3 linked regions of the Coturnix japonica genome follow. The protein of the gene in region 2 purifies or fractionates together with the protein of the main gene of each other region. This does not show direct contact. Links are inferred from orthologs where the notes say so. Each region holds a gene or a part of one and is shown on either strand. Other genes may lie near its edges. The genes, in order: DAAM1, RHOC and RAP1GDS1.

Region 1 (3,747 bases), on a different chromosome or scaffold from region 2:
TCAAGACCAAATCCCACTCAATTACAGCAGAACAAGCACGCCCTGCTCTGCACGAGCCTCACCACTCAATCCGCAGCAGCCTTCTGAAGCCAAGCTGAGATATTTGATCAGCAGCATCGAGTCAGAAAGCAAAGCACCCAACAAAATCCTCGTTTGTGAGAGAAGGCTGCAGAAATCCCGTAGAGCAGGCTTTGGCAATCTCTGAAGCTGACAGCTGGATGCCCTTGCTTATCTACTGCTGAAGCATGCACAAAAAAGCCCCGAATGCTTGCAGTGCCGCGCGAGCCTTCCAGGCAGCCCCGCCAGGCTCTTAAAAAGACCCATATAAATAGCGAGCCTCATTTATTAATACTTCAGAGATAAAAGCAGCCGTGCAGCAGCAGCTCGGCATAGATCGACACAGAAGACCACCCGCCCTACGTGGTGTATCTGCCTGCATCACCAGCAGCTACCTTTGGGTTGTAAATGCAGTAGGTGTGTTGCTTTTTGTGCCACCCAGCAATCAGGGTCAGTGCAAGGGCTGCTCCCTTAGGATCATAGAATCATTCCAGTTGGAAATGAGGTCCCCAGGCCCACCCCCACCATGCCCAATGACCATGTCTATCAGTACCACATCGTTATGGTTGTTGAGCACCTCCAAGGGCAGTGACCCCACCACCTCCATGGGCAGCCTGAGATCAAGTGGGATCCCCCAAAACAACTCTTCTACTCAAAGAAAGCTGCTGGCTGCTGCTTAGCTAAAGGAGTTGTTGCACTGACACTTGCCTGGCACGCTGCTGCCTGCCCCCTGCACTGCATTTCAGTGGCACTGAGGCTGGCAGTACAGCAGTGCCAATGGCAGAGGTGTGGAGACCATGGAATGGAAGGAGGGGACCTGGGGACAGCAGGTACATGACACCCACACAGGAGTGCATGACGCAGCTCAGGAGATGGGCAAGAAGCCAAAACAAAGAACAGAAGCAGGAGGAGATAACCATGACCCGGTCCTAGCGGCCACCCCATCTAGAGCCCTTCCTGCTGTCTCCCAAAAACAAAGGGTCAGATAAGGCGCTGGCTCAGGTCAGGACTGGTCTGACTCCACTTCCAGCCCAGGGCAGCAGATTTGGCACTGCTCTTACACCTCATCCATCCTGTTTTCCTGCTCGGGGCAGAGGCCAGGCAGCAAAGCAGCCAGCCCCAAACACCACAGGGCCGCACGCAGTGACCCGGCCGGAGGATGATGAGAAGGAAGAGGAGGATGAAGAGGAGGAAGCTTCCCTGTTTCCTGCTGCCCTTCGTTCTCACCTTGCTCCATCAGAGATCCTGGACTTTGGCTCTTGCTCCCTGCACACAGGAGGCTGTAGGCCACACTGGGCTGGCCCCAAGGACCCGAGTCACTTATTAACCAAGGGGGTGTCAGCAGGGAAAGGAGGCCAATGGCAATGGGGCCTGCAGGACCCTACAGACAGGGGACACTGAGTGCTTCAGGATGCCCATGGCTGGGCTGAGGGAGTTAAACCAGGCGGTGTCACAGCTCACAGAGGTGGCCTCAGCAGATAATGCAGCTGGGTTCTGTGTGCAGTATCAGGACCAGCCTCTAGAGAGGGAAGAAAGCCTCATCTGTGCAGCAGAGAGAAGCTGCTGGTGGCAAGGCATTGAGATCTGCAGCAACCAGGCTGCATGAACCCAGCAGGGCTCCGGCACCGGGACGCAGCACCTTCCCACCACCTCCAGGTCCCATAGCAGTGGGGCAGGCACACACTGCTCAGCTTTAGCCGGGAGGACTCCAGCTTGGCTTTGCCTTCCATTAACCTTGATGCAAAAGCAATGCAAAAAGCCCCTTCCACACGAGCATGCAAAGCAGCACAGCCCCCACGGGTGGAACCAAGCACAAACACCATTCAGCCAGCTGTCCCCACGGGGAGACCAGTGAGGGCATCGTCCTCATCCATTGCACCACTGACCCCATTCTCGCAAACACGGTGCCACATCCAACCTGCTGCTCTACGGCTGCTGCCCCACAGCCCCACCCCACCCTCCGACACAGCCATCCCCACCACGAGACACCCCACAACCCCGCTCCCACATCGCGGCGCGGACCCTCACCCCACCAAAGCCGGCAGCGCGGGGCAGGGACCCCCGGCACTCCCATCCCCCCCCGGGGGCACGGGCTCCATCCAACCCAACGGGGCGGCGTTGCCATGGCGAAGGCAGCGCCGCATCCCGCAGCCCCCACCGCCCCGCTCCCACCGCCGCGGCCCCGCCCGAGCCCCGCTCCCCGGAGCCCGCAGCGCCGATACGAGACCCCACAGCCGGGATCCTCGGGGGGAGGGATGGGAAGGAGGGGGGGGGGGTGTACGGTACGGCCCCGGGGAGCGCCGGGATACGTGGGGAGCCTCAACCGCCGCTGAACCGAGAAAGCGGCCCCGATCCCCCGCCCAGCGGCACGACGCGGTCACTCACCGAGCGGAGCCGACACCGACCCGGTACCTGCCGGCGCTGCGCCGAGCGGAGCCCGCCCGGCCCCTGCCCACAATGGGCCGCGGCCGCCCCGCCCCGCCCCGCCCCGCGCCGCCGCAACGACCGCCCCGAGAGATGGCGTCATGCAACACGCCCCCACGGCACGGAGCCGACGGGAGTTGTAGTGTACGGCCATGCGGGAGGGGTGAGCGCTGTGCGGGGAGGAATGTCTTCACGGCGAGGGTAGGCAAACTCCATCCCATCCCATCCCATCCCATCCCATCCCATCCCATCCCATCCCACTCTATTCTATGCCATCCCACTCTGTTCCACCCCGTCTCGTTTCATCCCATTCAGCCCCATCCATCCCTTTTCATCCCATTCCATCCTATCCTACCCTATCCCCTCTCCTCTCATCTCACCCCATCCCATCTCATCCTATCCCATCCCGTCCCATCCCATCCCATCCCATCCCATCCCATCCCATCCCATCCATTTCATCCTATCCCATTTCATCCAATTATATCCCACTCTGTTCCAACCCATACCATCTCACTCAATTCCACTCCACTTCATCTTATCCCATGCCATCCCACACTGTTCCATCCTGTCCTGTTTCATCCCATTCAACCCCATCCCATCCTATTTCATCCCATATCATTCCATCCTATCCTATCCTATCCTATCCTATCCTATCCTATCCTATCCTATCCTATCCTATCCTATCCTATCCTATCCTATCCTATTTCATCCCACCCCACCCTGTTCCATCTCATCCCATTTCATCCCATCCCATCCCATCCCATCCCATCCCATCCCATCCCATCCCATCCTACCCTATTCTATCCCACCCCACCCTGTTCCATCCCATCTCACCTCACTCCATTCCATTCCGCTGCATCCTATTCCATCCCATCTTGTCTCACCCCACTCCATCCCTTCCCTTCTCCTTCCCCACCAGCAGATGAGCACTGCAGATAAGGCGACACAGATGATGACAGGCACACAAGATCCATACCCCAGCTGCTTTCACAGTGCATAATAACATCGTCCCAAGCAGCACAGTCCACTGTCTGCCAGCTGGGAACTCATAAATCACTTTTCCAAAGGTTCCTGCATGGCACTGCCATCACCTCTCTGCAGGATCATGCTGTGCATTCCCACTGCCTTCACGCCAAGGGATTTGCTATTGCTTTTGGTGCAAATCAAAACTCCAGATTGAATTAACGGTGTGTAACACTATAGCTCAAGTAAATATTTCTTTCCTGGATAAGAAGTCAAACTATTTGTACATCGTATTATTATTAT
Region 2 (3,747 bases):
CACTGGTGGGGCCCCAGAGCTGCCGGGGGCTGCATCCATCCTAACCTGGGGAGGGGTCAGCATCACCCTGAGCCCTGCCCAAGGCTGCAGTGACTCACAGGGCAGAGGCCCTGTCCCCGCCCAAAATCTCAGCACAATTCATTCCATTACTCACCCAGCAGCCCAGAAATAGCCCATTGCTAACACACAGCCAGCCTCCAAACAGCAGGGAGGAGGTGGGGAGTAGTGCAGCCACGGTGCCCCTCAGGCTGCCCTATCCCTGTGGGCACCCAGAGTGGCACCAAGTAGCTATTCTAAGGTCACCACCAGTAACACAGCAAGGGCTCTGGCACAGCTGCTTCAGGAGGAGCTCAGCTTCAGGCTGAGCTTCGTGCCTCAAAAACTGAAATTCCTGCTGAGCAGGAAATGGGGAATTCCTGGTAGGATGCATCTTTCACCCAGTTTCTGTTCCTGAACCTCAGGAAATGGCACAAAATGACGTCAGTGCTTTGAAGAAGGGATCGGTCCAGGGACAGAAACCTTCCCGCTGGCCTCTCCTCCTGAGACCCCATCCCCAAAGCCCATCACACCAGCCCTGACCCCACAGCACTGCACATCTATGGGGGGCAAACAGATCTCCAAGGAGAGCAGCCGTCTCCATCTGCCTGGTATTGCTGTGTCTGCAGCCTCTGCTGAACCTCAGTGTTTAACAAACAAGCGTCCTGGGCACTCAGACTGTTTGGATTTACTCCTGTTTGGAAGGAGCTGGGCTAATCACAGCACAAACCAGGCTCAAGGCTAGAACATCACCATGCAGTTCGCTGGGTTTCACTCCCTCAGGCGCTCAGGCAGCACAACCTGTGACACAGAGGAGACCTAAGGAATCCTGCAGCACCCAAAGAGCACGAAACCCCAGCAGGGAACACAAACGGCGCTTTCCAACCAGTGCAGCCAAGGACAGCAGTCTCCACTTCTAAACATGGCTTTGTGTGTTCAAAGGGCTGCAGCCGCACCCCAACGCACGCCAGGCAGGGTCATATCGGGACAGGCCCTGGGGGAGGTGCAGCCCAGGGTGGGCACGGAGCATCCCTGGAGTGCTTCAGGGCTGCAGCTGAGCCCAGAGTTAAAGGGAAGGTATTTGGGGACAGTGACAGAGGCACATTGCAATCATCACGACTCCAGCAGAAAGTCCCACGGCACAGGATGAGTTCCTGGCAAGGTTCAGGAATGGGGGGAGCCTCAGAAGCAGAACAAGATTCCAAAAACAGCTGGGAAGGAGCAGTGACACCAAGGCACAGCACAGCAGCAAGGAAGTTCAGGCTTTGGGGTCCCGGTTGCGAAAGCTTGGAGCTGTTCCTAAGGTCTGATCAGACACACTGTGCTACACCAAGCAACAACACAGCAGCGGATCAGGGCTGCTCTGCAGACAAGGGGCAGAGCAGGCAGTTTTCATTGCCAAATCCCACAAAAACATCCACAAGCAAAGCAAAGAAAGGGATTTGGAGCAGAAGAATGTTAAAACCCAAACTGGGCTTGAGCTGGGAGCACTCTGTGGGAAAACACGTGGCATTGCTGCCCAGCAAACCCAGAGCTGCACACCCCGCAGTGCTGGTGCTCACTGGGCAGATACTGTGAAACCAACACATGATACCAACCCTGACCGGCGCTTGGAGTCTTACTGTAACCCATTTAAATGTCTTCTGTTTCAGGATGACATCCAAGGCAGCAAAAACATCACATGTGCACAAAGCCTCTTAGACTGAAACTCACAGCTCTGGCTTCAGGACTGCAGCCACAGCCTCCTACTTTTACACATCACTGGGCTAAAGAAGAGATGCCAACAGTTTATACACGGTCAATGAACCAGCAAGGCTCCTCAAGTGCTGTATTTCAGCTGGATACACTGAGAACTCAGCCTGCTGCAGCACTACTGCTGCCTCAGGAGCCCCACGCTGTCCCCACCTCCTCCATCCACCACGTTCTTATCTTCCATCCCACAGAAGCACCTTCCCCAGCTGTAGCAGCACCAGTATCTGCCAGATGACACTCCCAGGCCAGGCAGGTGGTTGTGTTTGTGCCTCACAGCTGATCCCTATTTGCAAACACATTCCGGACTTCCCATGTTCACACACAGCCCCATCCTGGCACATGCTCTGAGCTGCCAAGCGAGCCAGGTTAAGCACACCCAATATCCACTGGCATCATCCCAATAGCTACCTATGAAACGTTTCCCTGGACAAGCCGAAGCTGTCAGGAGTCAATTTAAAGCACATAAAATCTCACGCAGCTGTAACCGTGCTAGAGAGGACCATAGATTCAAGGCAAGGCGCTGGGAAGGAGGAAATGGGAGCGCAGACGGCCTTATAGTGTCGGGGGGGATCGGGCGGTCGCTGCCCGATTTGGTGCTGGAGCGCCGGGGTTGCTCATGGTTCTGGAATGCTTTTCTGCTCTGAGACATTGCACAATTGTTTCTGCTCCTCCGTCTGCCCCCCTTGTATAAATGTTTACAAATGAGCTCAGCTCTAAGCAAAGCGAACTTTTATCCTTTCACGAAGAAAATACAGCGCTGCTGTATCGGAGGCGGCTCCGTGCGGGACGGCTCCAACCCCTCTTCGCCTCCGGGACCCGGCCCGACCGGGACCGCACGCAGCACCGCCCCATGGCGCACCGCTACGCGCTCAGTCCCATCATAACCCCGCAAGCCCCCAATAGCGATCCCCGCACCCCTTGAGCTCCCCGCAGCGCCCGCATCCCGAGCACAACCCGTACCTCTCTAGGGCACGGCACGGCACGGCACGGCACGGCTCCCTCTCCCGGTCCCGATGCCGGCTCCAACCCCAGCCCCACAGCCCGGCTCCGGCAGCACCGCCCCGTTTTGGGGCCGCCCGCTGAGGGGCGGAGCTGAACCGAACCGAGCCGAGCCGTGGTGTGCCGGGGGCTCCACTCCCAGCCCAGCTCCTGCCCCGCCCTGGCAGCGGGGTTACGTCGGAGCCCAGGCCATGCCCTGTAAGTCGTTTCTATTTTAAGATTTCGGAGACGCGTTCTCCTTAATTTATCCCTCCCCGGGCCAGCAGCTGGCTCCAAAGGAAACGTTTCTTTAGTAAAGAAGGGAACCGCAGAGGAAGCGCTAAATTCAGCCTCTGCCCGCTATGCCCCTCCCCGGCCGGCAGCCGTGGGGGCACCGGGCAGCGCAGCCCCAACCCCGCAGCCCCGGGTGGGAGCAACGCAAGGGAGGAGGGACAGCGGCTCACATGGCACCCAACCTGCCTACACGAATTAATCAGCGCTAATTGGCTTTGAAGTTAGTCGTCTTTGCGGGAGCTCCGCAAGAAAGGCGCTGAGGTGGAACTGCGAGCGGCACGAGCTTTATTGAACCACACAAGGGCAGCTCCTTCAACCCCAGCATCATCCCCCTGCGACACAGAGATGCACAATGATGCACACAGGTACAAATGTCACGGGATAACTTTCACTCCCCACTAAGTGCACCCAGTTTATTTACGTCTCGCTTTGTGCTTTGCAGGGTGCAACACTGCAGAGGTGCAGGAAACTCATCATCCCCCAGGTGAGAGGTATAGCAGATGCAGGATACTGCAGAGAAAACAACTGCAGCTACAGCCCTGCCCAGAACCAGCTCCGAGTCTGGGGAAAAACCAGCCCACCCTATTTCCCAGCCACAACCAAGCTGCTTTTATTGCAGGCTTCCAACCCCCAGCTAAGCAGATTCATGCAGCATTTTAAGCTGTTAAGCTTGGCTGAACGGGGCTG
Region 3 (3,647 bases), on a different chromosome or scaffold from region 2:
TGGACAACCTCAAGTAAGCACTCCACCAATCCTGCTTCAACCAGCTGCAGTTTAATGACATCTGTGAAACAGCATGGAGAGTAGGAGCCAGCATTATAATTTAAAATACATCCATTGAACCTCCATGCAGGACAGCCAAAGACTAGCAATGTCAAGTGTTTCACTGACAACTTGTGTAACCAAAATAACTGTGCATTCTTAAGGTCAACTTCCATCAAAAGTCATGTAGCAGGTGTGCACCCTCAGCTCTGGACCACCCTTAGACCACATCTATGCACTGTGAAGCAGCGTGTTGCTGCTATTCTGAAAAATGAGCAAATTACTTTGCAGAAATTATCTGGCATTTCAGTCCTCGCACAGCATGAGCTCATAAGGGCCTTGCTGTGCTTGGGCTCTCCAAAGAATTTGGACTGAGTTGCAGAACAAACCTAAGGGTGCATCTTCTGTTTTGTGTACAGAAGAGCCACTGCAAGTATAAAATACAGATTTTATTAAAAATGAAATTTCAGAGCAAGTAATGACCCATTTCTTTCAGTTGAGCCAAGATTTCTGTCACTTGTTCCAAGGGCTTCAGGAGTAAAGAAAGGCCAAATCCAGCAGGCTGGGTTGGGAGACAAATTTATTGTGATCAAAGAAAAGTTGGAAACTGCTGAGGCGAGCTCATTCCTTGCTTATTAGAAATGAGGCTCAATGGAGAAGGTGATGAATGGGTTGTTTAGGTAGCAATATAGGATTTGGAAGCAATAATTTTTCTGTCTCTAGAACACAATATTTAATGCATTATTATTTATTTTTTTTCCCCTGTGAATTTAGAGCTGGATATCTCCTTCTTTACACACACAAATTCCCTTCCTGTTACGTTGGAATGGCAAATCACCTGATGCTGTGTCACCTCTTTTTGTTACGTGAAAGTGATTCTATTAGTTTTGCATCCTGATTTTGGAGAGCACAGTCTCAAAGGTCTGCAGAAATGTAAGTAACAGCCATTTGTTTGGATGTTTTCTGCATGAGGTGGTGTAAGGAGCTTAGCTCAAGTTAAAATAGAGTTGGGTGAGAAAAAATGTCCCAACTTCTCTGTTGAAGGATCAGGCACCTCTTATCCATTTACTGCTGTTGCTCAGCTTTTGTGCCTGAGCGAAATTGTTTCTCCCAGAGCAGCTGACCTTCTCATGGACTCTCTTAGGAATGCAAATAATCTATTCCAGTAGCTCATCTAGATGGTTTTGCCTCATGGCTGATGGCCAATGATCTATAATCAAAAGCACCTAGCAGCACTAGCACAGTGGACTCATGCTCATTTAGGTATGCCTTGGCCTCACAGTGGAAGAGTTCCGTTGACTGCCACATAGTGCAAGCAGCTGAGTTATGTTCAGCAGCAGTAAACCTATGAAAGTTTACTGTGACTGTAAAGCAGACAAAAATTAAGCATTTGAAATGAAATATGTCAAAGTCACAGAATGTTAGGCTAATTCTGTGTCAGTCTTGAAGGGCTGAACTTCTTAGAGCAGCTTCTAGTAATTATATAATAAATGAATATATTTTGGCAAAATGCATGTTTTCAGAACTGAAAAGAGAAATCCTGTTTCACATATAACTTGCAATGAAAGACAAAGGAACTGCCAAAAATAGACATTATCATAACTCTAAATTGAAGACAAAATGTGTCTTGATTTATACTGGGAAGAATAGGATGAAACTTGAATCTTCTGAGTCTACAATTATCTTCTAAGAATGCATTCAATTTCAGCAAGTTTTAATGCTGAGGTGATGAAAACAAAGTATAGAGCCATCAAATACTGTTCTATCTTTCACACCCTGAGCTGTTAATTGATATTTTGGTTTCCCTTAAGGGCAGATAGAAGGTTATACAAACTGCTGTGAGTCTTTCCAGAGGAACATGCTGGAGGGGTGGTCCTCACCCATCACTCATTCACTGCTCAGGCTAGACTAGAAACTTCAGTCTCCTGAGGCTGGTGCTAATATATTACACCAAACTCAAAGTAAATGATTTCCGAATGAAAAGTAAGAAGAGAATGTCCTCCTAGCTCTGCAATTAACGTGTTCCTTGCAAAAATATTTCCATAGGAAATTAAACTGTTGGGAGAGGGTTCTGAGGTCCCAGTAAGTGATGTAGTGACTGATTTATTGGTGCTGCAATAGACTATGAACACTTCAGCCAATGGTTGCGTGTATTCTCTTGCTCCTCAGGGCCTATAGAACTGTGCCAGCCTCTTGTGAGCTTTCAGGAGAAAATGGAGTTCTCTGTATTTCAAAAAGAGACTTGCTGGCTACTACAGAGAAGTAACAATCAATAGTAAACTATACTGATTTTAAAACACAACTTGTAAAGCAAATAGATCGTGCTCATAGGATAAGAATACAATGCTGAAGTGAGAGTAACAGTCCTACAACAGCTCTGATGGGCATCTCTGATATTCACAGTGCTCTGTAGATAAATGTCAAAAACTATTCTGTAGGAAAGAAAGAAAATCTGCTTTTGATATTCCCACTGCAGGTAGGAGGAAATAAAATATAGCATACAGAATGAATCAGAGGTGGAATCAGCATCAGCAATTTGTAGGCTCCTGTCATGTATTCAGACAGTTAAAACATTCGCTTCATCTGAAACTGTCATCATACACCCCTGGGGACTGCCAAACAAGGCAGCCAATTGCTCTGCTGTTAGTCCCCGAAAGAGACAAACATATCCATTCCTTTATTATATTATTTTATATAAAAAATACCGTAGGGTAAAAAAAAAAAAAAAAAGTAAATAATCAAACGCTCACCATTTTCTGCGAGGGGAGCCAAAACTTCAAAGATCATCTCTTTTTTATCATGCTCTACTTGCTTCTTGAACAGTTTCACAAGCTCTTCAGCAATGTTTGTGTAGGCAAACTGCTCTTTGCTTGACTCTGCAAAGCAAAACTTCCGTATCAAGTAAACAAACCAAATCAAAAGCTAGGATGACTTTTTCTCTCTCTTTTTTACCAGATTTACTCAGTGAGATGACTAATAGTGCACTTCACAGGCAAGAACAATAGAATCATGTTTGTCACAAAATGGAATGAAATAGTCTAATGCTTTAGAGCAAATGTACTGCCTTCAATTATGAATAAGGCTGTTCAAAAAGACCTGTGTACATGATTGAGGCTGTTGAGGCTGTTTCTGCCCAAGAGAATGTAAAGGTAGCTATAGAAACAGTAACATGACAAAAATAAAGATGGTATTTTATTATCCTCAGCTAAAGAGGAAGACTAACAGATCATATACTGTATTTTCCCTTGGAGAAAGCTTTAGTGTTTACGTGGTCTTGTGATGGTGACATTTCCTTTAAAATCTGTGCCTGGCTGTTGCAAGGCTGTTTCATACTGCACAGATATCATAACGCAGCTTTACAGCTGGCCAAGGTGGCCACAAGGAGGGTTACCCATTGGACTGTGGTTTTTTATGTGCTGTGGTGCCAACAGAAGCATCTGATTCTATTGCCTGTATCTGATTCCTCCTAACTGGCAGTTTTACAGGGGATGCAGATGGTGGGACTGGTGTTCTGTGTTCTCCAGTTGCCACCTCCTGAGGGCCATCTGTAATTAAATCTTCCAGCACCTTTGCTAACGCTCTAGGGGATGGTTAGAGATTATTTTAAT

Evidence for each region.
Region 1: the proteins of RHOC (region 2) and DAAM1 purify together in Homo sapiens (affinity purification with mass spectrometry; 3 studies listed by BioGRID and IntAct, counting the BioPlex papers as one, with this or other methods). This does not show direct contact. The link is inferred for Coturnix japonica from reciprocal best matches to the Homo sapiens genes RHOC and DAAM1.
Region 3: the proteins of RHOC (region 2) and RAP1GDS1 purify together in Homo sapiens (co-immunoprecipitation; 3 studies listed by BioGRID and IntAct, counting the BioPlex papers as one, with this or other methods). This does not show direct contact. The link is inferred for Coturnix japonica from reciprocal best matches to the Homo sapiens genes RHOC and RAP1GDS1.

The regions. Positions count from the first base shown.
Region 1 is NC_029520.1:49,921,291-49,925,037, forward strand, and holds the start of DAAM1 (disheveled-associated activator of morphogenesis 1), read right to left. Parts: upstream 2,553-3,747; 5' UTR 2,443-2,552; intron 1-2,442. UniProt on the Homo sapiens protein: Binds to disheveled (Dvl) and Rho, and mediates Wnt-induced Dvl-Rho complex formation. May play a role as a scaffolding protein to recruit Rho-GDP and Rho-GEF, thereby enhancing Rho-GTP formation. Can direct nucleation and elongation of new actin filaments.
Region 2 is NC_029541.1:3,630,924-3,634,670, forward strand, and holds the start of RHOC (rho-related GTP-binding protein RhoC), read right to left. Parts: upstream 2,875-3,747; 5' UTR 2,749-2,874; intron 174-2,748; exon of another isoform or gene 155-173; intron 65-154; exon of another isoform or gene 46-64; intron 1-45. UniProt on the Homo sapiens protein: Regulates a signal transduction pathway linking plasma membrane receptors to the assembly of focal adhesions and actin stress fibers.
Region 3 is NC_029519.1:53,753,783-53,757,429, reverse strand, and holds part of RAP1GDS1 (rap1 GTPase-GDP dissociation stimulator 1), read right to left. Parts: intron 2,916-3,647; coding exon 2,790-2,915; intron 62-2,789; coding exon 1-61. UniProt on the Homo sapiens protein: Acts as a GEF (guanine nucleotide exchange factor) for the Rho family of small GTP-binding proteins (G proteins) that stimulates the dissociation of GDP to enable subsequent binding of GTP.